Linked DNA regions of Mytilus edulis. Each later gene encodes a partner of the first gene's protein in a complex. Links are inferred from orthologs where the notes say so. Each region holds a gene or a part of one and is shown in the gene's direction. Other genes may lie near its edges.

The links.
Region 2: eukaryotic translation initiation factor 3 subunit D-like (region 1) and eukaryotic translation initiation factor 3 subunit J-A-like share a complex: the UniProt entries of both Drosophila melanogaster proteins name them as parts of the eukaryotic translation initiation factor 3 (eIF-3) complex. The link is inferred for Mytilus edulis from reciprocal best matches to the Drosophila melanogaster genes eIF3d1 and eIF3j.
Region 3: eukaryotic translation initiation factor 3 subunit D-like (region 1) and eukaryotic translation initiation factor 3 subunit L-like share a complex: the UniProt entries of both Drosophila melanogaster proteins name them as parts of the eukaryotic translation initiation factor 3 (eIF-3) complex. The link is inferred for Mytilus edulis from reciprocal best matches to the Drosophila melanogaster genes eIF3d1 and eIF3l.

The regions. Positions count from the first base shown.
Region 1 is NC_092352.1:39,012,307-39,019,690, forward strand, and holds the start of eukaryotic translation initiation factor 3 subunit D-like, read left to right. Parts: upstream 1-4,305; 5' UTR 4,306-4,378; coding exon 4,379-4,501; intron 4,502-5,343; coding exon 5,344-5,389; intron 5,390-6,073; coding exon 6,074-6,213; intron 6,214-6,785; coding exon 6,786-6,874; intron 6,875-7,336; coding exon 7,337-7,384. UniProt on the Drosophila melanogaster protein: mRNA cap-binding component of the eukaryotic translation initiation factor 3 (eIF-3) complex, which is involved in protein synthesis of a specialized repertoire of mRNAs and, together with other initiation factors, stimulates binding of mRNA and methionyl-tRNAi to the 40S ribosome.
Region 2 is NC_092347.1:85,262,056-85,269,219, forward strand, and holds the start of eukaryotic translation initiation factor 3 subunit J-A-like, read left to right. Parts: upstream 1-4,072; 5' UTR 4,073-4,131; coding exon 4,132-4,147; intron 4,148-4,238; coding exon 4,239-4,315; intron 4,316-4,844; coding exon 4,845-4,899; intron 4,900-6,697; coding exon 6,698-6,783; intron 6,784-7,164. Other genes in the region: protein FAM221B-like, read right to left, coding at 292-495, 989-1,099, 1,348-1,488, 2,191-2,353, 2,772-2,819. UniProt on the Drosophila melanogaster protein: Component of the eukaryotic translation initiation factor 3 (eIF-3) complex, which is involved in protein synthesis of a specialized repertoire of mRNAs and, together with other initiation factors, stimulates binding of mRNA and methionyl-tRNAi to the 40S ribosome.
Region 3 is NC_092352.1:17,627,082-17,634,659, reverse strand, and holds the start of eukaryotic translation initiation factor 3 subunit L-like, read left to right. Parts: upstream 1-4,548; 5' UTR 4,549-4,609; coding exon 4,610-4,651; intron 4,652-6,474; coding exon 6,475-6,526; intron 6,527-6,886; coding exon 6,887-7,040; intron 7,041-7,578. UniProt on the Drosophila melanogaster protein: Component of the eukaryotic translation initiation factor 3 (eIF-3) complex, which is involved in protein synthesis of a specialized repertoire of mRNAs and, together with other initiation factors, stimulates binding of mRNA and methionyl-tRNAi to the 40S ribosome.

The DNA.
Region 1 (7,384 bases):
CCCGACATTTTAAAATTCATGTATGTTATAATAAAAGTTCATGGCGATTTTTATCAATGTTAAAACAAGTCTATCCACACGGGGTTTTGTGTTAATATATAAAAACGGCTTCTTATTAATCGCTTATAATCTAAAATCTAGAATGTCCTCACATACGGAATATATATATAGAGAGCGACTTTGCCTGGTTAAAATACGTATTTAAAGCTCCATGTTTAAAAAATGTTTGCTCTTAAAAATCTAAAAGTTCAGTGTTCATACGAAATTACTGCATTGTGATAAAAGTATATGTACGGTAAAATCTAAAAGTATGTCCACTATGAATCTGTGGGCAATCCGGTGCTTTAGGACCCAGAGTCAATGGTATCCCTACCCCTCCCCCTCTCCATGCTAGCTTATCTTCTACGATGTGCCTCTAAGTCTTTTCGTCCAACAGTACATTTCTCTTTATGTGCAACTTGAAGAAAAGGTTTCTGGAATGGTTTTCCATACGGGCTACGCTGGCTGAGTTATGTCTATTTAGGTTGATGAGTTTTGCACTGTCGAGGAGCAATTGCATTTGCGTTGTAATGTCCAGGTCATGGAACCTTATGGTATTATTCATCTCATTTTGCCATATGTCATTCACCTCTTTAAGTATCACCGCTCTAACGGACTGTAACTTCTCGCATTGCATTACAAAATGTTCTAGTGTTTCCTCCTGTAACCCACAAAGCAGGCAGGTCGGGTCTGTTTCTTGTCTGTAGAATTGAATCCGTTTTGTTTGAAGTACATAAGTTCCAGTAATAAGGCGTAATCTGGTAGGGATTCTGCTATTGTCTAGAGCGGATTGACTCTTGTGTTGGAGGATTGGGTGAAGTTTTCCCTTGATGAGGTTTTGACTGCTCAGGTACTTTAGGCCCAAGTATAGTTCGGATATTTGTACAGTTTTGATGCTCCAGTATTTCATCACAGCGTTCTTTATCAATGTGATCCACTGAGTTTTCTTTGTTGGGTTGGCCAAGTAGGTGTTTGCTTCGCTGAGATCGTATAGACGTAGCAACTTGTTGACGTGTATGAACCAACTATTACTTTCCTCACTGCAGACTGTCAGTTGTCTTCTGGCAAGCTTTTTCTCGGTACTCTCTTCTGATTGATGGCAGATATTGTTAAAGAAAGTTAGCGTCTTAATGTGAATTTGGGCTTCAACCGGAAGAATTCCTGTGAGTATGTAGACTGCTGGATCAGGGCATCTTGTTGGCAGCGATAATATCTGTTTAAGCATCCTTTTTTGGAAGATCTCAAGTTGTTCAAGAGGCTTACCGGATGGGGTTAGAAGTTCCATTCCGTATAGTAGGACAGGGAGTATATACGTCTTGTAGATATGCAGTAGCGATTCAGGGTCCAAACCATTGTGTCCATGGAACCCGGCTCCAAGTAGGCTGTATGCACTCCTTCTTGCCTTTGTTATATTTTCGTTGGTGTTACTTTGTATATTGTTCTTCCGAGTTGTAGTTCTGATGATCCCAAGGTGTGTAGCCTGCTCAACATTAGGCATAGGTGTGTTACCCATCATCAGGTTGTCTTCTTCCATTTTGGTGTTATTGCTGTTTCCGCTTATTTTAATTACTACACTTTTCTTTGGCTGCAGCTGGTATCCTTCTGAATTGGCAAAATCAAGGGCCATGTTGACCATAATTTGAGCATCAGCTGGCTGCATACTCAATATTGCGATATCATCTGCGCATCCGGTGTTGTTTGTGTTGACATTCCCTATAGTCATGCCGTAGGTTGTGTTTTGGAAGTGGTCTAACAGAGGGTTGATGTATAACTTGTACAGGTCTGTACTCAGTATGCCTCCTTGCCTGACACCCATGCCTACTGTGAAACGCTCTGATGTTTTTCCGGACCATTTTATGCTACTTTCTGCGTTTTGATGAAGACTCCTAATGATTGTCCATGTCCTGTCTTGAATCCCAGCATGATATACCCTGCGGAATAGATGTGAGTGCACCACAGTGTCAAAGGCAGCTTTTGCGTCGAGCAAGACTAGGTAACCGTTTTGCTTTTTTTCCGGGAGAATTCGGTACATTTCCTCCACAGGTAGTGCTGCATTCATCGGGGAGGATCCTTTGGTGAATCCTCTTTGAGTTGGGTTTTGCACCTTCTGCACTTTTGGTTGTACCCGATCTCTAATGATGGCCTCAATTATCTTGCTCTCTACGGGTAAAATAGTTATTCCTCGGTAGTTTAATGCATCGTTTTTGCTGCCTTTGTTCTTAAATACAGGAGAAAGCAGTCCTATTTTCAGAATTGTTGGTATATCTCCTTCTAGGAATATGATATTGATGAGTTGAGTAAGGGCGGATAAGATATTATCTCCAGCATATATGAAATGTTCGATGGTTATATTATGGTAGTCTGCGGATTTGTTTCTATTTATTGTAGAAATAGCTTTACGGACATCATTTTCTATGACAGGGCGTATCGTTTCTTGGTCTACCAGTTTGCAGATATTGCTTATTTCCATTTCCACTTGGGAGTGGTACTCCGGGTTGCTGAAGGCCTCTTCTTTAAGTGTAGAAAGAGTACAGAAGTGTTCCTTAAATCCTTCTATGACTTTGTCTCCCGAGTATGTGGCGCCATTAACGTTTATATCCTGTATGTGTTCAATTCCCTTCCTGCGGTTCTTTTGAACTAGTTTGTGGAAGACCTCCATGTTATTCGATCTTGCTTCCATGATGCTCTCTTTTTCTGCCTCCAGTTGCCTTGCTACTGCTATGCGTACTGTTTTCCTAAATTCCTTTTTTCCTTGTTTTTTCTTGAGTGTTAGGGGATTTGCTGGATCGTTTGGTCTCCCACCTTTTTGCCATTCGTTGTACGTGATCCGTTTTTCCTTTAAGGCGTTCTTTATGTCACTATTCCATACTTTGAGCTTTGGTCTTGATTGATAAACTGTTTTATTTCCTGATGAATTTTGTGATGCTGTTGTGAGTATATCATTCATCCGCTCAACTACTTCTTGTGACTCTAATGAATCTGTAATAATTGATTCTTGCAGCTTCAGTGCCTCTTTGTCTGTTATTGCTTTATACAGATCCTTGTCTACCTTATCCCATTTAATTTTGGATTTCGGACGTTTTTTTTGGTTCATATCAAGTTTCTCATGCTTCCAGTTTATACTCATACTGATTGGATAATGGTCTGAGGCGTTGGTTTGGCATTTGAGGATTGACTTTCCCTTCCCTAGTATGTCTGGTGTTATGTTGTGTAGGAAATAGTCAATTTCAGAGCATTCACACCCCTTCGAGTTGATAAATGTATTTCCAATGTTATCAAATTTCAATTCAATTTCATTTATAAATTTCTTCAGGTACTCCTTTCTCTTGTTCGTTGGTTTTCCAGCATTAAGGTCTTCGTTAATGTCTCCACCTATAATAATGTGGTGAGTACTGATGTATTTTTGGCATATCTCGTGCAGTTCATCTATGCACTCTTGATATTCTATTTGATGGTTTTTGCTCCCGTTTGATGGTAGATACACGCTAACAACCAGTATTCGCCTAACCGAGTTCTCAAGTTCAATACACTGTATTTTTTCCGATCCGTCGTCAAGAGGTCTAATGAGATGATTTATGTTTGTGTTCCAAATGATTCCCACGCCACCGTATCCTCTGGGCATGGATACTGGAAGAATTGGTTCGTTCATATCCACCCCCTTGGCTGCAAAGTTTACGTTACAGTTAATATCAGAGATCATATGTATTTGAGAATGAAAAAGCCAATGTTCCTGAATTAAGATGATGTCATTTTCCTGTAGAATTTCGCTAATGGAGTGTCCACATGTTTTGATATTTTTACAGTTGTATGAGGCTATGCTGATGGATTTGTCCTTAGTGTCTAAAATTGGTTGATGTTGTTTCGTTGGGGATTGCTCTGCACTAAAAAAGGGTTGTTTCCACAAGCTGCACCTGTTGCCATGTTGTATAACGGTTGTTGATTAACAGGGTGGTGCGTTGGAGGGATTTGTGACTCTAGTCTTCTGACATAGTAGTGTTGTCTTGGTGGTAATGGTGCACTTGGACCAGGGTGTTGTACATGTGCCTTTTTTGTTCCATTCCATATCTTTCGGGTGTTATCAGATTTCTGTTGACATGCTCCTGTAGCAGCTTTCTTGTTTGGATGGCTGTATATTAGAGGTATTCCGTGGAGTTTGGTAGGGTCCTCGTTTGTTATTGTTCTTGGCGAGTAGTCGGCAGATATAGTTTTGGCCTCTTCAGTTTTGTGGCTGACAGAGATGTTTGGCTTGTCTTTGTTGTTCGTTTTCACCGAATCTTTTCGGTTATTAGTTTAGTCTGAAAACGAGGCTGAAAGACGATCACGTTTTGCCGGTAGAAATATGGCATATTTTAATCCCCCACAAATTCAAGATAACCCCGTTGGATGGGGTCCTTGTGCTATTCCTGAACAATTTAAGGACATGCCATATCAGCCCTTTTCAAAGGGAGATCGGCTCGGAAAGGTAGAGTACTGTAATGAATAAGTTGTCAACATATTGTAACTTTAAAAAAGGGGGAGGGAAGGATTGTCAGAATGATCCAGGAAAGTTCCTGGAGTATCAAACAGCAGATCAGTTTTGTTCCATCTGGTGAATGGTTTAGACATAATGTGTAAAATAATCAATTAAGATCGATGGTGCTTAACAAGTTGGCACTTGCTGACTTGGTCTTTGCCTTTGGTGCCAATCTAGGGGCTTCCAGGGGCGTAGCTACATTTACGTCAAAACGCCCGGGCGTACACTTGAATTTTATAAAAAAAAAATATCTCCATTAAAAAGATCTGGTTTAAAACACATCAGTGTTGTAAATCAATCTTCAATAGCTTGTAATTGCTTATAAAAGTGACGAAATCTATTTCCGATCAAATAGTGCCGTATTATATATTTGTTTATTTTCTTTCGGTCAAATTCTGAATCTCCTGGTAATTCTTCTTACTTTCCATTTGTTTAAAGAAATTCATAATCAGCTGAGATCCGATATGTGCTTTGAATTTTAGCCGAGCCTGCGACATTTATAACGCGAAAAAAAGAAATAGCGAACCTAGATTTTTTCAGCGGCGTCAACATTTAGGTTCAATATGTGGTTATTTTAATATCAATAATTTTGTCAAACCTTCATGAAGTTTTACGAAAGTTGGACAGAAGCATGCCTGATGAGGTCACATTTAAAATTCCAGTCTTTGATTTAGGAAATTTGAACAAAATTTCTGTAATGTCACTAATATCATTTATGTCTAGAGCTGCAGTTTGAATAATAACCATATTATACATGAATTATATAATCTCTCATGGTGCTTTATTTTTAGGTTTCTGATTGGACTGGAGCAACCTATCAAGACAAAAGATATTTAGGTATTGGTTTATCTAAGTAGAACGGTTATGTTTTATATAATAGTACATGTATTTATCAGATTTGCACCTATTTTTATTTGGAGTGCAGGTGTTCAGCTAAATTTCAATCAGAATATAGTAGACAATAGACAATATTTTATTAGCACAAACACATTTACATTAAATGGTTATGGCATACAAAATTAAATACAATATATAAGTAGCAGTTCAATAATCAAATAATAAAAAAAAGTACTAAGTATTATGGTTAACATGATCATGCAATAAGTCGAAGTAAGCATTTGTTGATTTTTTTAATTTAGAGTATCAAAATAAAAGCTTTAATTTATTAAAGAAACACATTTCTTTAGATATAGATTGTTAAAAAAAATAGGTTTTTTCTCTCTTTGCTTTATATATATATAACATCATTTTGGAAAAATCAATTGATGCATTTACTTGAGTATCAGTTTCCTAGAAGAATTAGACACTGTCTATGTCAAACATTCCTTTTGTATGTAAAGTCTACAATGGATCTCCATCTTCTCCCCGTTTTATTTGTGTTGATATGGAGGTAGAAAAACAACATCTTCACTAATATTTTATCTATACGTAAGTAATGATGTGTGTATTAAAAGTCTTTTAGACACTGCAGATTTATGTTAATATGTATAAACAACAGCTCTAAATATTTGTATTGCACAGGGAAATACAGTTCTTCATTTGGAGGATTAGGAAGCCAGTATGCTTACTACCATGAAGAGGATGAGAACAGTTTCCAACTTGTTGATACAGCTAAGGTTCAGAAACCAGTGTACCAAAGAGGAAGAAGAGTTTATCAACAGGTATGAAAACATATTGAAACAGGGTTCTAAAACAAATTATGAAGTATAATTGTTTTGCTGAGTACAAAACTAAGCTTTACTTATGTGGTTAAAAGAATATTGCTGAAACAAAAACCCTCAGTATAAAACAGTCATGTGACAATTTTGCAGGTTGTTTTTATAATCCTTTTCTCACATTGTCATGAAGAGCACATGTTGTCAAAAGTTTGTGTGTTTTTAAGACATCAATAGCTTAATATTGCTATTTGATATTTGTCTGCAAATAAAAAATGATGGAATCATTATGAGACAACAATATTACCGATAAGTGGACTGTCTCATTGTTGTAACATCATCATGATAATATTCAATCTTCAGACTTTATTTTTGAAGTCCTACAAATAAGAATTCTTATCAAATTTAACCACATATCTGCTATTTCAAGTAACAAACCATCTAGTATTGATTATATTCACCCAAGTAAACGAACAAATATTTTACAATAATCCATTGCCTCAGTTTGTTTAAATACAGTGAAAGGACCTAAAATTTGTTGCACAACGTTTGAAATTATAAATACATTTTTTTTGCAGAATAAACAAAGAAAGGAAAGAGAAAGAAGGCAACAACAAGCTCAAGCTAGTATGCAGGTGTTGTCTAAAACACAGAAAAGTAGAGAAAGGTACAGATATTACTTAAACTTGAGGGTTATTTGTCTTGAATGCTTTTTTTCTAATAAAATTAGATTTTTCTTTGGATAAAATTACCTCGATTGGGGGATTATATTGATTGATATATGTATAAAGGAATTTTTCGCAAACTGACTAAAACCAAAAAAATAATTTTGCAGCAAGTTCTAAAGACTTACATATTTAACAGAGAGTAAACAGCACACCTTACTGGAAAAACAAAGGAGTAAATACCATTCACAATTTAAAGTGTCATGAAATCTTCATCTTGTCTTTCTATACCAATGCATTTGAATAGGGGCAAAGTAAGCATTTCTAGTAAAAGATACTTTGCTAGCCGCCTTGTTTAATGTAGGATAAATGTTTGAGGATTTTTAATATTCTTTTCTCGTCAAACACTGAATGTTTAAATATGCAAGTAAAACTGAATGATGACAATAATGATACTTTTACAGGGATCGTCAGCGTCTGTTGAGGAAATGGCAGAAACAGTTTGGTAAACA
Region 2 (7,164 bases), on another chromosome or scaffold:
AGACTTACCAGTATAACAATTGTATGGTTCGATAATTGCCACAATACAAAAAAATAGAAGTTCAGATGTATGGATGTACCATGAAAGATTTATATATAAAAAATGGAAGATGTGGTATGATTGCGAATGAGACAACTCTCCACTAGATAACTAGTGAAACAGAAGTTTGAATCATGAAAGATTTACCCATCTTCTCAACACATGCAGAGTTGTTCTTATCTTTATTAAGGTACATAAGAAAACCTAAATTACTTTTAGAATGTTAAATCCTCAGTCAGTATTGGAACAAACCTCTAGATCTACATCTTCTCATCCCTGTTGGTTCATGTTCTTCATGTGTGTGTTTACAACGACATTTAGCTCTCCATGTACTAGGATCAAAATCTCTTCTACGTTGATGCCAGAATTCGCCTACATCCTCAGGACGTGAAGGAATCCAAGCAAAACCTTTACACTTACACCCCCCTTGTCGACATGGTACCTGTACACTCTTTCCTAAAACATTAGAAGTAAAATAAAGAGTAAGAAGGTATGGTATACACGTAGGTCGCTGATGGTACAAACACAGGTCACTGTAATAATGTTTTATGCTAATGTAAATATGAACAGTAACAATGAAGTGCAAAAAGATCAAGTTCACTTTCGGCAAAATATGGCCTTGAATTTAAAGATTATAACTTTGTATGTTACAATGTGATGTAAGAAAAAAAAACCCATTCTTTCATTTTCAGGTTTTCTTAATTAAATAAATTTCAATATTTGATTATTTGCCATGCTCCAGGAAAATTTCATTTGTATATTCTTCAAATTAACAAATATAAGAAATTATTCACGAATAATGATACAGTTGTAGATATTTTGTACATAGATAATACTTTAGCTCAAGTGTTATATAATGCAAAATTAAAAAATAACATGAATTTGATCCTTCTGGTAACTTGAGTTTTCTATTTCAACTCTAATTGTAAATACATATTATACATCATACCTGTGTAATTTGCATGTCCATTTAACAGATGACCACAGAAACATTTGGAATAATCATTTACCCTTTGACAATCATGTTTAAACTCTGGACATCTCCATCCAATATAGATTCCTGAATTAAATCAAATTCAAAATTTTAAGGATTAAATGAATAAAACAAATTTTTTTTATTTTTTTTTATTTTTTATTTTTTTATAAAGTTTTTGCAGATCAAGCCACTACCTGCCTGCTTGAATGAAATTACCTATTTAAGTGACATTACTTAAAAGAACTATAATTCTAAATCAGATTCACCACAATGACCAAAAAAACCAAGAAATAATCCATAAAATAAAATAAGGGAGATAATTCTGATTTTACCTGTTTTCTGAGCAGTTAAGGCAGCTTCAACTTCTGGATCAAATAACTTCTTTAGTCTCGGAGCAAAATCTTGATTCATGGCTCTGGCAAATGATACAACATCATAGTTCTTGGCTGGTTCTATTTTTCTCATGGTATATCCTAGAAACAATCAAGAGTGATTGGTATTTAATAATAAATGTGAATTTGATGTAAATATGGTTTGTCATAAGCAAGTTTTCCCCAGAATTAATTAAGTCAATTAGGGGAGATAATTTCATAGTCACAGCTATATTCATAAAAGCCTCAATAATGTTTTTTTTAATAATTCTTTGTTACTAGTGGCATCTATTTCTTGAAATTTTTGGGTTGGTTTAATAGACTAACAAAGTATCAAAACAGAAACTTTGGTATGGATAACGTTGATAAGAAAGCTAGCTCAAATCTTAACAAATGATAAGTGTAAGCATATTTGATTTTAGATTTATTCAATTTAAATACATATACATTAGTTGGCATGAAAATATTATAAAAGTTGAATCGTCACTAAGACCAAAACGAGGACCCGGAAACAAGTTTCCAGCTTATATCATTCCTTTTCACTTATAACTGATTACACAAATATACCTACAAAATACACAGAAGTTTCAAAGCTATTTAATACTCTCTGACATCAAAGTTGGAGTATTATTATGATAGTTATATTTTCTTTGTCATTTCTCATATAAACATGGAGTCCAAATACTACTAAGCAATCAACAGATACTAAAAAGCAATGTTTATATCATCTAAATTTGTATTTCTTACCAGATATTGTTTATTTACAAGATACAATGTAAAATGATTTAAACAAACAAATTTTACCTTCAGGAACTAACATTCCATCTTGTTTTTTCATGGCAATAGGTTGCATGCCTCGTGGTAATACTGCTTTTCCTCTTCCTGAAGGAGCTCCCCTTCCTGCAGGAGAACCTCTACCTGAAGGAGCTCCCCTTCCTGCTGGAGAAGCTCTACCTGCACCTATTGTCTGTAATATAAGGACATCATGTCTTAAAAAGGGAGATAATATTAATATACATTTTAACACTGTCTAGTGTCTGGTATGAATAGTTTCAAAGTATTATAATTTCAAGTTTGTGCTTATGGTTTTTTTTTCTCAAATAATAATGCTCCTTAACATCAGTTAAACAATTTTAAGTATTGCTTTCCATAATTTAAGAATTTAAGGATTATTTATTCAAATTAATAAATTAATAATTCCTTTGATTTGTCCCAGATGCTCGATCTACTGCATCAAAACAATCTGCTTCCAAGTTCAATTGATCCATTAAATTCCATTTAAAAACATCAGGGCCAACAAATATTATTAAACTAGTAATTGGAAGTCATTAAATATCAGATAAAGACTTGCTGTGAAGTACTGAGTTTAACTTCATATGCATTACCTGTTTTGGCTTAGTACCAGTTGTTTTTGGGACTGGTTGTTTACTCATACTATACTTCTATTAATTACTGTAAAATAATACAACCTGAAAACAAATTTGACATATCAGATTAAATGTATGTGAATTACTCTAAACTAATACAACCTGAAAACAGATTTGACATATATCAGATTAAATGTATGTGAATTTCTGTAAACTAATACAACCTGAAAACAAATTTAAAATATCAGATTATATAAAACTGTGGACTGGTATTAAATTCCACTGAGTAATGGTGTACAGAAAAAATGAAAATTTATATGTATCTTTTTTGGTAGAAATGTGTCTGAAAGTGAAACGGTGCGGGTTTCTGATGGTATGAGGATAGCAGAATGGATTGCTACGATTTGGTGTACTATTTTGTAGAACATTATCAATCTTGTGCATAATCTTCTTTCCTGTAGTGTGGGCCAGTTTAGTGAGTTTATCATGTCTGTAGTACTACTGATGTTATGGTACCTGTTACAGACATATCTGGCAGCTCGTCTTTGGACCATCTCAATTTTAGAGGTTTGTTTAACTACTGTGTGAGGGTCCCATACTGAACATGAATATTCAAGCTTAGAACGAACCAGTGCCAGATATACCTGGGTTTTGATGTTCTGGCATGATGTTTTTAAATTTCTTTTTAAGATTTGTTACCATTAGCTATAATGTTGTCTGTATGTTTTGACCATTTTAAGTTTGCTTGTAGTGTAATGCCTCAATATTTACTTTAAAGTGTATAAGATTAATTCCCTGTTAGATATACTATAGTCAGGGTTACAAGTAACTAGTCCCTTACTATAAATTTAAAGTATGGCCAAAACGACTAAGGAGGAACCGGATCTATGGCCGAAACGTCTTGAGTCCATCCATTAAAATTTAATGAACCTGGACCATTTTTTTGTTATTGTTTTTCTGTAGATTCATTAACCAAATATACTGACAAGGGTAGCAATTATATAAACTTTATCGTAAAAGTGAAATGAAAATATGTCATACTCTTATTGATTCTGTATATGTTTTTAAACAGGAATAAATATTAAGCGACTTAGTCACTTCTTCAGTTTGTCATCCATTTGTAAACAAAGCAGTCACGCACCTTGGATATTCTGGTTTCCTGTCAGCGTGAAGTAATTTATCCTTTCAGAATTCTATTTTCGTGAAACCAGTTTAAAATAATTAAATAAATATTTTTCAAAATAATGTATTGAAATAATTTTAAGATTATACGAAAAATATCAAATAATATTGTAACTCATAAGAATTATTTTATTACCTCCAAAGAAATTGCATTCCCGCGCAAATAATTTCTATTTTTAGTTTCTAGAACTTCAAGATGTCTGACGCATGGGGTAAACATGTGGAGAACATATTTATGACTTACTAAGTTCTTAATTACAATTTTAAATGAATTTTATGATTTATTTATTTCATATTTTGTAGATGCCGATGATTTTGAGCCAGAAGTACCTGTGAAGACAACGGATCAGTGGGAAGGGGAGGATGAAGATGATGTCAAGGTTTATACGATTTTTTTTACCAAATTACATGGTTTTCTTCATTCTTTGTTTAGAAGACAATTAAACGTAGTCGTGATTTGGAATCTTAATTTAACATATTAAATCTATTGCTCATCATTACTGGATCCTTCCTGGATCAATCCTTTACACGTGACAGCTGTTTCATTTTGCCTATACTCGCTGTCAGCTGAAATTCGTAGCGGTTATCGGTTAAAATAATCTTAACTATCAATCGTGTTCACTTGAGATATAGTTTTTCACATTCCATTCATAAATCGCGAAAAGAAAAACCACCTACCTTTGAAGTGATCACACTGTAATAATCCTGGGATATTTTCTTAAGGGATTCTGATATATGATTAACCAGCTGTTCCTAATTAAATTTCAAATGTGACATATGAAATATTTAGAATGACAAATGGTTTCCTTTTGGGTGTTGGTCAGAAAAAAAATGACAATTAAAATGTTCTTATCTGGTAATTGTATAAGTTATAATGCGCTCAATACAAATTAAAACTTTTGTTTACAGGATAATTGGGAGGATGACGATGATGAAGAAAAGAAGACAGAAGAAAAAGATCAGGGTATGTTGATTTGTCCTATTAATAAAAATACACACTGTAGCCAATTTGAACTGCACTATGGTCATTTAAAAAAACGGGATAATGCATGCCTATGAGAAAATGAACTTAAAATTATTAAATTAAAGGATAAGGCCACACCAATTTAATCTTGTTCGACGGACCCGCCCGCTCCTATTTTTTTCAAAACAGATTTTTATTATTTTTATTATATTCTTGCTTCCTGCATCCGGAAATGTAATCATGTCCATTTCCCATACCGTTTTTTTTTTGTAAATATTATAAAAAGATCTCAACATTTGTTTTTAAAATCATAGTATAACCTTTATATAACGATTTTAAACCTATAAGCACCTCACGACACTAAATATCTGTGAGAATATTTGTTTCAAGCGGGAGTGCTCCGATATAAATATATAACAGTGGAAACACCTGTACAGAACAAAACATTGGTTTCTTTCCCCCAGACTTATATTCCCTATCAAAAAATGTTCGTAGTTAAAATAAAGTACAAAGAACTTCTGAAGGATTTGCCTTCAACTGCAATTATAATGTATGCTGACGGTCATACCTGCTGCAGGTTTGTGCACTGGTCCTGATTGATTCAGGGACCTGTCGTTCAGCAGTTATCGTTTGTTGGTGTGGTTCATTGGTATTTTCCCGTTTGGAAATATAAATTAGATCGTTGGTTTTCCTGTTCGAATTGTGTACAATACTAAGTTGTGGTCCCTTATACCTTGCTGTTTGGTCTGGATCAAATCTCTGTGTAAAAGGCCGTACTTTGACCTATGTTTGTTATTATCAGGTAATCCCTCAGACAAGGACCTTGAAGGGGTCATTTAACCATGTTTACTGTTGTAGAAAAGAAAACAGAAATACTAAAGATTTTTATAGTGCATCTATACAAAACTGTATAGTGCTACTATACAAAACCTTTGAAACTTTAGAATTTTTTTACTCAAAAAGAGGAGAAATACATTATATTTTAAACGACTTTTAAAAGAGAGGTCCACTTATTTTAAATAATATAAAACTGTTAAATTTTTGGACATGTTTTGACCATTTAATACCATATAGATATTATAGTTCTTTGGGAAAATATTACCCCTTTTGTACTCAAAGTGTTTTTACAAAATAAATATATTATAACTTATATTGACCCCTCATAAAAGGGATATTCATAACATTAAGGGGTTGTTCTGAACCTGATTATGACTTGGATGGAGAATTGTCTCATTGTCAGTCACACATACATAGACCAGATTTAATTATTCAATTATTTCTTGTTGAACAGGGAAAAAATACTTCATAAATTAAAGATATGTCAAGGTACAAGTGATAAATCAAGTTTTAATATAGTCAAAACCTACTATTTTATGTTTACAAAAAAAAATTATAATCGCTCGCCTTTACTTTTTAAGCTTCGCCTCAAAAATTTGCAAATTAAATATTTTTTTATTAAAATTTTCAAATTGCTCGCTCGCCCCAATTTTTGGAGTTCAAAAATCTGTAGAACAAGAAATTAAATTGGTGTGGCCTAACAGAAAAATATGGGATAGTACAAACCACCAATGCCTGACTGAAGAAAAAAATAGACAAATCAACACATGATCCAGTTCTTGTTACAAAATAGAACAAGTCTTATATGTGCATGAACCACAACCATCACATTGTTTTCCATCAAAAACCTTATCTAGAGATAGTGAACTAGATTGAATCTACAATAAGCACAGAAATGTGAAACCCCTGTAAAAAGCTAGGAAATTAGAATTTTTCTGATATAATACATCATTTCTTTCAGAAGGGAAGCCTTTTCAGAGAAAGAAAAAGAAATTAGCTGACAGAATAGCAGAAAAACAAGCTGCCAAACTTGCTGCAGAAGAAGCTGTAATTTTAACTTATTTCTCTTTATTTAATGGCCATTTATATATTGTTTGGCCAAATTGTAACAGTAAATTACAGTCTGGTTGATACTCTAAACAGTGTCTTCCAAGTTGCTTGATCAATAATTAGAACTTGTCACACATTTCAGAACTTTCTGATAGGTACCTACTACCTGTTAGCCCATACTTTAAATTTTAATATTGTTACTAACCTGTGTTTAGTTATAAAATCTCTGTAAGATACCTATTTCCTTTCTTCTGATAGTTTGAAATGCAATACATGGTAAGCATAGCACAATAACAGGTTTATTCTTATAACTTTTGCAATAGTAAAGACACATTTTCACTAAACATGACTAGAACAAAATATTGTATTGGCCTGCCA
Region 3 (7,578 bases), about 21 Mb from region 1:
CAGTTGACGTGTGACGTATACAATCAGAAGCATGGACAAGACCTTCAACATGTGACTTCCAACCTTTCGTCTGAACATTTTCTAAGGTACCTAACATGCCAACTTTCCAAGTAGTATATATGTTATCTACTAATTATAAGTATACGTCGCTGTCTTCCGAACATCAAAAAGTGTGGTGAAAATCCAGTTGACGGATGACGTGTACAGTTGTTAGCATGGACAAAACCTTCATCATGTGACTTCCAATCTTTCTTCTGAATGTTTTCTGTACACTACCAAGCTTTACGAGTATTTATTTTGGTAACTTTCAGTGATGTCCATTTGATGAGACGGTGTTGTTCGTGACTTCGTCATACTAGTGATGTTGCATATTTCCTTGGTAATTTTAGAACCAAAGTTTGCACCTTGAAGTGGTCTCATTAAATATTATATATTTATATATACAGTTTAATTGCAAGGTATTCAATACACACTAACTCAAGGGGTTATGTCGTCTCGATGTTGATTAGAAGCGCTCTGTGACTTGTAGCCTGCTACCGGCGAACACATCTGTCGCAGTGCAAGATCTAGTTTTCAATATTTAGATCCATGCTGTCACTGTTTTTGTAGTTACATTTTTGGTGTGTATTGGAATGCTGCTGTTGTTTCTTTACTGAAACAATATTCACGATGCAGCTATATTTAAGTCAGATGGTATTGCCGCTCTATCAGTTGACTATAGAAATCCAAACTGGATGATATGGTAGTTCTTTGATAACTATTAGCATGTCGAAATGTCTTATTGCAATGTTTATTTGTGTATTTCTTTGTCCTGAATGTTCTTGCATTTATTTGTACTGTAGTCCTGTCATATAATGCTGTCATTGTAATGTTATATTTAGCATTGCCATAAAAGCGCGAGGTTTGGCTACCCGCAAAACCAGGTTCAACCCACCATTTTTTCTTAAAATGTCCTGTACCAGCTCAGGAAAATGGCCATTTTTATACTATAGTTCGTTTCTGTGTGTGTTAATTTTAGTGATGTGTTTCTGTTGTGTCGTAGTTCTCTTATATTTGATGTGATTCCCTCAGTTTTAGTTTGCAACCCGGATTTGTTTTTTTCTCAATCGATTTATGGATTTTGAACAGCGGTATACTACTGTTGCCTTTATTCAAGGTCCATGTATCTCTGTATAACAACATCTTTGTTAGGTGTTAGATACACAACTATAAGCGACTGACATGGCTATCGTCCCGCGGAAATCTACTAGCTCCAATACAAAAGAGACTTAACTTGCGGACCGCGAAATAATAACAACCAATCAGATACAACGATTCAAGTAAATGTATAGTGGATATTCATAGAACAATAGAGTGAACACCCGAAATAAAGGTTTACAAGTAAAAATTTAAACTCATAGATTCAATATTCAAAATATGAATGCATTCATGTAAGTATATATAAAAATAAATGATTATTACAATATATCAAATTATAAACATAAAAATAACTCTGCTACATATATCCATATATATATATGGATATAGATAAATTGCCTTGATAGGCAGCATAAACATGGACATAAAAAGCTTTGATTTGATTCGGCAAAGCAAAAAAACCACACATAATCTTTGATGAACACTTTACGGAAATAAAAACTTATACACAAGATATGAAATAAGGCAACGTAGCACCAAGGAATTGTATATTTAAATATACAATTCCTTGGTAGCATGTAATATATAAAACAGCTAAATAATTCCATGCAGCAAAAAAAAATCACATTTCTTGTAATGATGATTAGATGTTGAAACCATTTTAGTCCGTATCAAGGATTTGTATAGTAAGAAATATGGTAAAGAAGTTAAAAAAGAAATCTATGAAAATATATTTTTTAGAACGCTGTTCTGGGGGATCAAAAAGTGCTGATTTTTGGGAAAACTGTCAAACCTTTCTTTTCAAAAAAATGCCAATCCCAAGGGCAAAAGACTATTTTATTTGAAGAAAACAAAATTATAAATAATTCAAAAGATGTAATACTATCAGATATTTTTAATAAATTTGTTGCCACTGTTGCTGAGAAGATAGAAAATGATGTTATATATGATCCATTAAACAATCATAGCATAAATGCCATACATGAACAAAATCACTTGAAAACAGATGCAAATTTTAAATTTCAAAAGGTGACATCAGAAAAAGTGGAAAAAATCATAAATAAAGTTAATGTCAAAAAAGCAACTGGAGCAGATGAGATATCAGCAAAAATAGTTAAAGCAAGTAAATCTGTCGTTGCACCTCAGCTGACCAGTCTTATAAATTTGACTGTGGACACGGGCATATTTTCAGACAAACTTAAAGAAACCCAAGTTACACCCTTACATAAAAAGAGCGACCCACTACTGAAATCAAATTACAGACCAGTCAGTGTGTTACCTATTTTTTCAAAATTTTACGAAAAGATATTTGAAATACAGTTATACGATTTCTTTGATTCCATTTTTAATCCTTATCTATGTGCTTTCCGTAGAGGACATGGATGTCAGACTACGTTGCTCAGATTACTGGAAGACTGGCGTAAAGCCTTAGACAAAAACTTATATAAAGCTGCAGTTCTTATGGATTTATCAAAAGCTTTTGACTGCTTACCTCATGACATTTTACTAGATAAATTACTAGCATATAGTGTTTCTCCACATTCAGTATCTTTATCAAAATCATATCTTTCTTTTAGAAAACAGCAAATTAAAGTAAACGGTGTTCTGAGTAGCTGGGCTGACATCCAAAAAGGTGTACCCTAAGGTTCTATATTGGGCCCCTTTTATTTAATATCTTCAAAAATGATATATACTTTTTTGTTAAACATAGTACATTATATAATTATGCGGACGACAATACTCTGTCTTTTAGTAGTCCGGATTATGACCATCTCATATCCATATTAGAATCTGAACTCAAGTGCTTATTGATTGGTTTAAAGAAAATAAGATGCAGGCAAATCCTGATAAATTTCAAGTTATTGCTGTAGGGAAAAGAACCTTTGCAAAAAATCCATCTATACAAATTCAGCAAAATCTTTTTTATCATGTGAAGAAACAGTAAAGTTACTTGGAATTGATATTGATTACCAACTAAAATTTGATGCACATATAGTAACTTGTGTAGAAAGGCATCACAACAGCTGAATGTTCTCAAGAGAATTGGATCATTTTTAAACAGATTAAATAAACTTACATTTTTTCATACTTTTATTTTGAGTAATTTTAATTTTTGCCCTTTGGCTTGGCATTTTTGTACAGAGAAAAATTCTAAAAAAGTTGAAAAAATATAAAAGAGAGCATTAAGATTTGTATATGACGACTAATTATCATCCTCTGAAACTCTTCTTGAGAACGCAAAGGTTCCAACCCTACAAGTAAGACGCATCAGGACAATGGCACGTGAGACTTATAAAATTTTAAATAATTTGGCTCCTGTATGTTTACAAAATTTACTCCAAATTAAACACACTAAATATTCTTTTAGATACAATGATATTTGGAAATACCACAGGTAAGAACTACCTCATATGGAAAAAAAATCTTTCAGTTTTGCTGCTGCTTCTTTATGGAATAGCTTACCAGAACATTTCAGGACTGTTAACAACTTCTCACATTTTAAGAGTCTTGTTCAGTCCTGGAGTGGAACAGAATGTTTTTGCTCTGCCTGTAGATAATTTGTGTTACAATATTTATGCTTTCTATGCTGCATTAACAGCTTGCATTGCAACTGAAATGTTGTTTTTTACATTTTAAAATTTGAAAGATTTGAAATTTTTACTTTATAAATCATAATTTTTTTTTTAAATAATTTTTAAACTGCAAATTTAAAAAAAAAATAGTGCTTCATATATATGTTTTGGTATTTTGCAACATACATGTACATTTGTATATGCTATTTGCTTAGAGTTAATTTTTTGTGCTGCTTTTTATTATTTATTGCATGCTGCATGCCTTGTTTTATTTGTTATTGCATATGTTTTTTATATTCGGTGAAAAGCTCATTAGAGCTTATGTTTGTATTGTTTGTCAATATGCCGAATCCAAATAAAGTTTTACTTACTTACTTACTTCTTACTACACAAATCCTTGACAAATCATTGTCCGTATAAATAAGATATAGGGGGGATAGGACCTTTATCGGGACTCCGGGATCGGGTGTTTTTAAGCTCGGGATTTCGGGATTGACCCTTTCGGGATCCGGGAATCCTTTTTTTCGGATTTCGGGATGTCGGGATTTGCTTTATTTAAATTCGGGACCTCGGGATTTCGTTTTTTCAAGTCCGGGATTTCGGGATCAAGACCCCTCCTATCCCCCCTCAGATATGTATTAGTCCCAGATTTCATGGAATGAAAATTTTCTCCACTACTGTAACTTTAAATATTTGATTTTAAACTGAGTATTATATTTTCTTATACATTACTAGAAGTTTGTGTGTAGGAATTTAACCTAACATTATGTTCGACTAATAGTATTAAAAGTACGAGTTGGAAAAGATACGAGTTGTCCCCCTACTCCGATGTCCGACTTTGTTTTCTTTTTCTTTTCGTTCTTCTAGGGCAGACAACTCTATCGGAGATTTTTTCCAACATGTGGAGTGACGAACCACCAGCATCTTTTGCTCCTCCTGAAGTAAATATGAATGTTTTTAATATGAACTTTTGTATATAGAATCTACACAAGTCGTTTGTATATGTTATATGTTTTTCAATGGCATTCCTGATTCGATCAATACATGATAATCCATCATATTGTTGAACTCATTGCCAGACCAGTTGACAGCCCGGCTTCTCTATAAATCTATAAATAGACTCGATCTGTTGACCAGAAGATAATCCATTATTTGTTCCAGCTTAAACTAGTGATTTCCATTTATTGGTTTTTAGAGTATTTTATTATTTTTATTCATCCCAAACATGAGAAATTGACATTGTATATCCTCACAAAGGATTACAGACACTTGTCTCCGAAAAAAAATTACCTACAGTACATTTATATACATTTGTACATGTACTTTATATAACACAAGGTACCCAAATCATTTTTGAGAAATGAAACTTGATCAAGAACTTTCATTTTATTTTGCTTCTGTGGTTGTCCATCCCCCTTAAACTTGATATATGTATATCGTAAATCTACATTAATTACCTTCAAAATGCTGCCTAACACACCAATATCTGATGTCATAATCATTCATAGCTAGCTTTCCAAGTTGGGCTAACAGTAAATTCTATCATCCTATCACTGAAAAAGTGCACTAATAAGGTTCATCTGGACCATTTTGCTGAAATGGCTGTGTTTTAAAATCAAAATTTCTTCTACAATTACAAACGTCCATAGACTACCTCTATACACATAAGACTAATAAAAACCAAACTGAAGTTCAAATTGAATACCCACACGATAGTGCCATGTGCTGATTTTAATTTCACATTATGATACATAATATCATGTCGACAAAATATAGTCAGTAATTTATAAATACTACTGAAATTAAAACATTAAATATAACATCAAATAAATTCACCTAAGCAAGATAAAAAAAAATAACTGGGAAACACGTCTAATCGAGTCGGCCCTGTCGTACTGAATGGCTATATCCCATGAAGCGCAGCAATACAAATAACGGTCTATGGGCAGACAACTAGAAGAAATTAAAATCTAATTCAGTTCCTTCAAATACATGTAGTTGAAATTACATTTACTCTCAAGTACAGACTAAATGACTAAGAAAAGTTTTAAGGCATTGTAAGTTTGATTAAAATGGATTTTATGCTTTAGAAAATTTTAAAGATAACTATTTTTTGCAATGCACTTTTTTTCGTCCCTGCAGAAGATGATAAAATTAATAATAAACACCTGAGTTTCATTTGGTATGGTCCACTCAGGTTCACAGTTTATATCGCCAATTATTGTCAAGTACTGTATCTTTCCCCCCTCTATTGCCCATGGCAATCAATACAGTTCACTTCAATTATTACTTGTGAGGGAAGTTCTTAAACCTCTTTCTGAACTTTGTTAACAGTCATGACAGTGGCACCTTCTGGAGAAATGAAAAGAGTGCAGTGCAAAATCCAGTTAACTTAACTGTTTTTAATTTTCTAAAAAATGAAACACAAATGTACATCTGAATTTTATTTATCTAGAGTATATTAGGCCTTCAAAAAAATCCAGATACTCAGATATGTCGGCACCCAAAATAAATTTTAAGGTGAAAAGGCAGCCATTTTAGCCAAAGGGTCCACATGAATCTTGCTGTCTTGTAAAGTAAAGTAATCTTTATTTAATGTTGGGTTGCATATATACATAATAACAAGGAACATAAGATAAGCTCTTTTAAGAGCTCTTTAACCAACTGATATTAAACAAAACATTCATGTCTATACAATGCATAATTTAATTTAAAACTGATTATTTATTGGAGTGATTACTCAAAAAATTTCTTTTTATTTCAGTATTATCCAGCATATCCTCAACCAGGTGCCACTGATTATGATGCACACACAGGTATGTTACTATGTTAAACATGTTAAATAGGATTTCTACATTAAGTGTCCCCCATGTGTGATCATTTAATAATTAAACTATATTTAAAAGATTCTTAAACTTTGGTGACTGATATCACTATGGTAAATAAAATTGTACTCATGTCTTGAAGATCAGTCAAAATAAAGAATTTTATATATTTATTGCACTAACATTGATGAACATTTGTCCTAGCAGTAAGTAATGTTGGATGAGCTTGAAAGTGTTCTATGATTTACTGTGAGGTACACTATTCCTCTATGTTAGTGCAATTTTTTTTACCAAATTTTTTTCTAATTAAGGTAAATGATTTGACAGAACAATGTTATATTTTTTATAAAGGTGATCCACGCCAAGATTTGGAATATGAAAGACAGTATGCCCAACAGACGTCCTCGTATATAGTACCAGATGTCATCAAGAATTTCCTTATGGTATTCCAGAAGGCTATAAATGACCAGAATCTATATGAAATTCAAAATGCATATGAAAATGGGTATGTCTCTTACATGTCTTACTGCATATAAACCATGCAGGTGTTAAGCCAAATTCTAGCTTCTTTCTCAACATGTTCAATTTCAATTCTATTTTTAAAAAGATGTAATTTATCAGTTCAGGTGATGAAATGAAATTAATTCATCTTAAACAAATGTAAATATAAGGTAAATATTGATTTGGTACTTTGCAATTGTTTAAGTAGATGGACTTTTATCACCATTATGTACACCAATTATCAAAGCTATCCTGCAGTTTATCGCTTAATTTGCCAAGTTAATACTGTACTTATATGAGGGATGTAAAGGGGGGGTATTTGCACGGAAGAAAGAACAATTTAAAATTTCTTGCACATTGATCTTTTTACCAATTTCACGAAACACAGTGAATAAAGAACTTTTTTCACGGCTGCACATGAAATAAAAATGGCAAAACATGTTGCACGAAAATAACCCTTAACCACCCTCTTATGTCTAGGAACAGTTCATAAGGCCAAACAGCTATGTGCTTATTCCTGCCCAAAGCTTATTTTGAGTGCT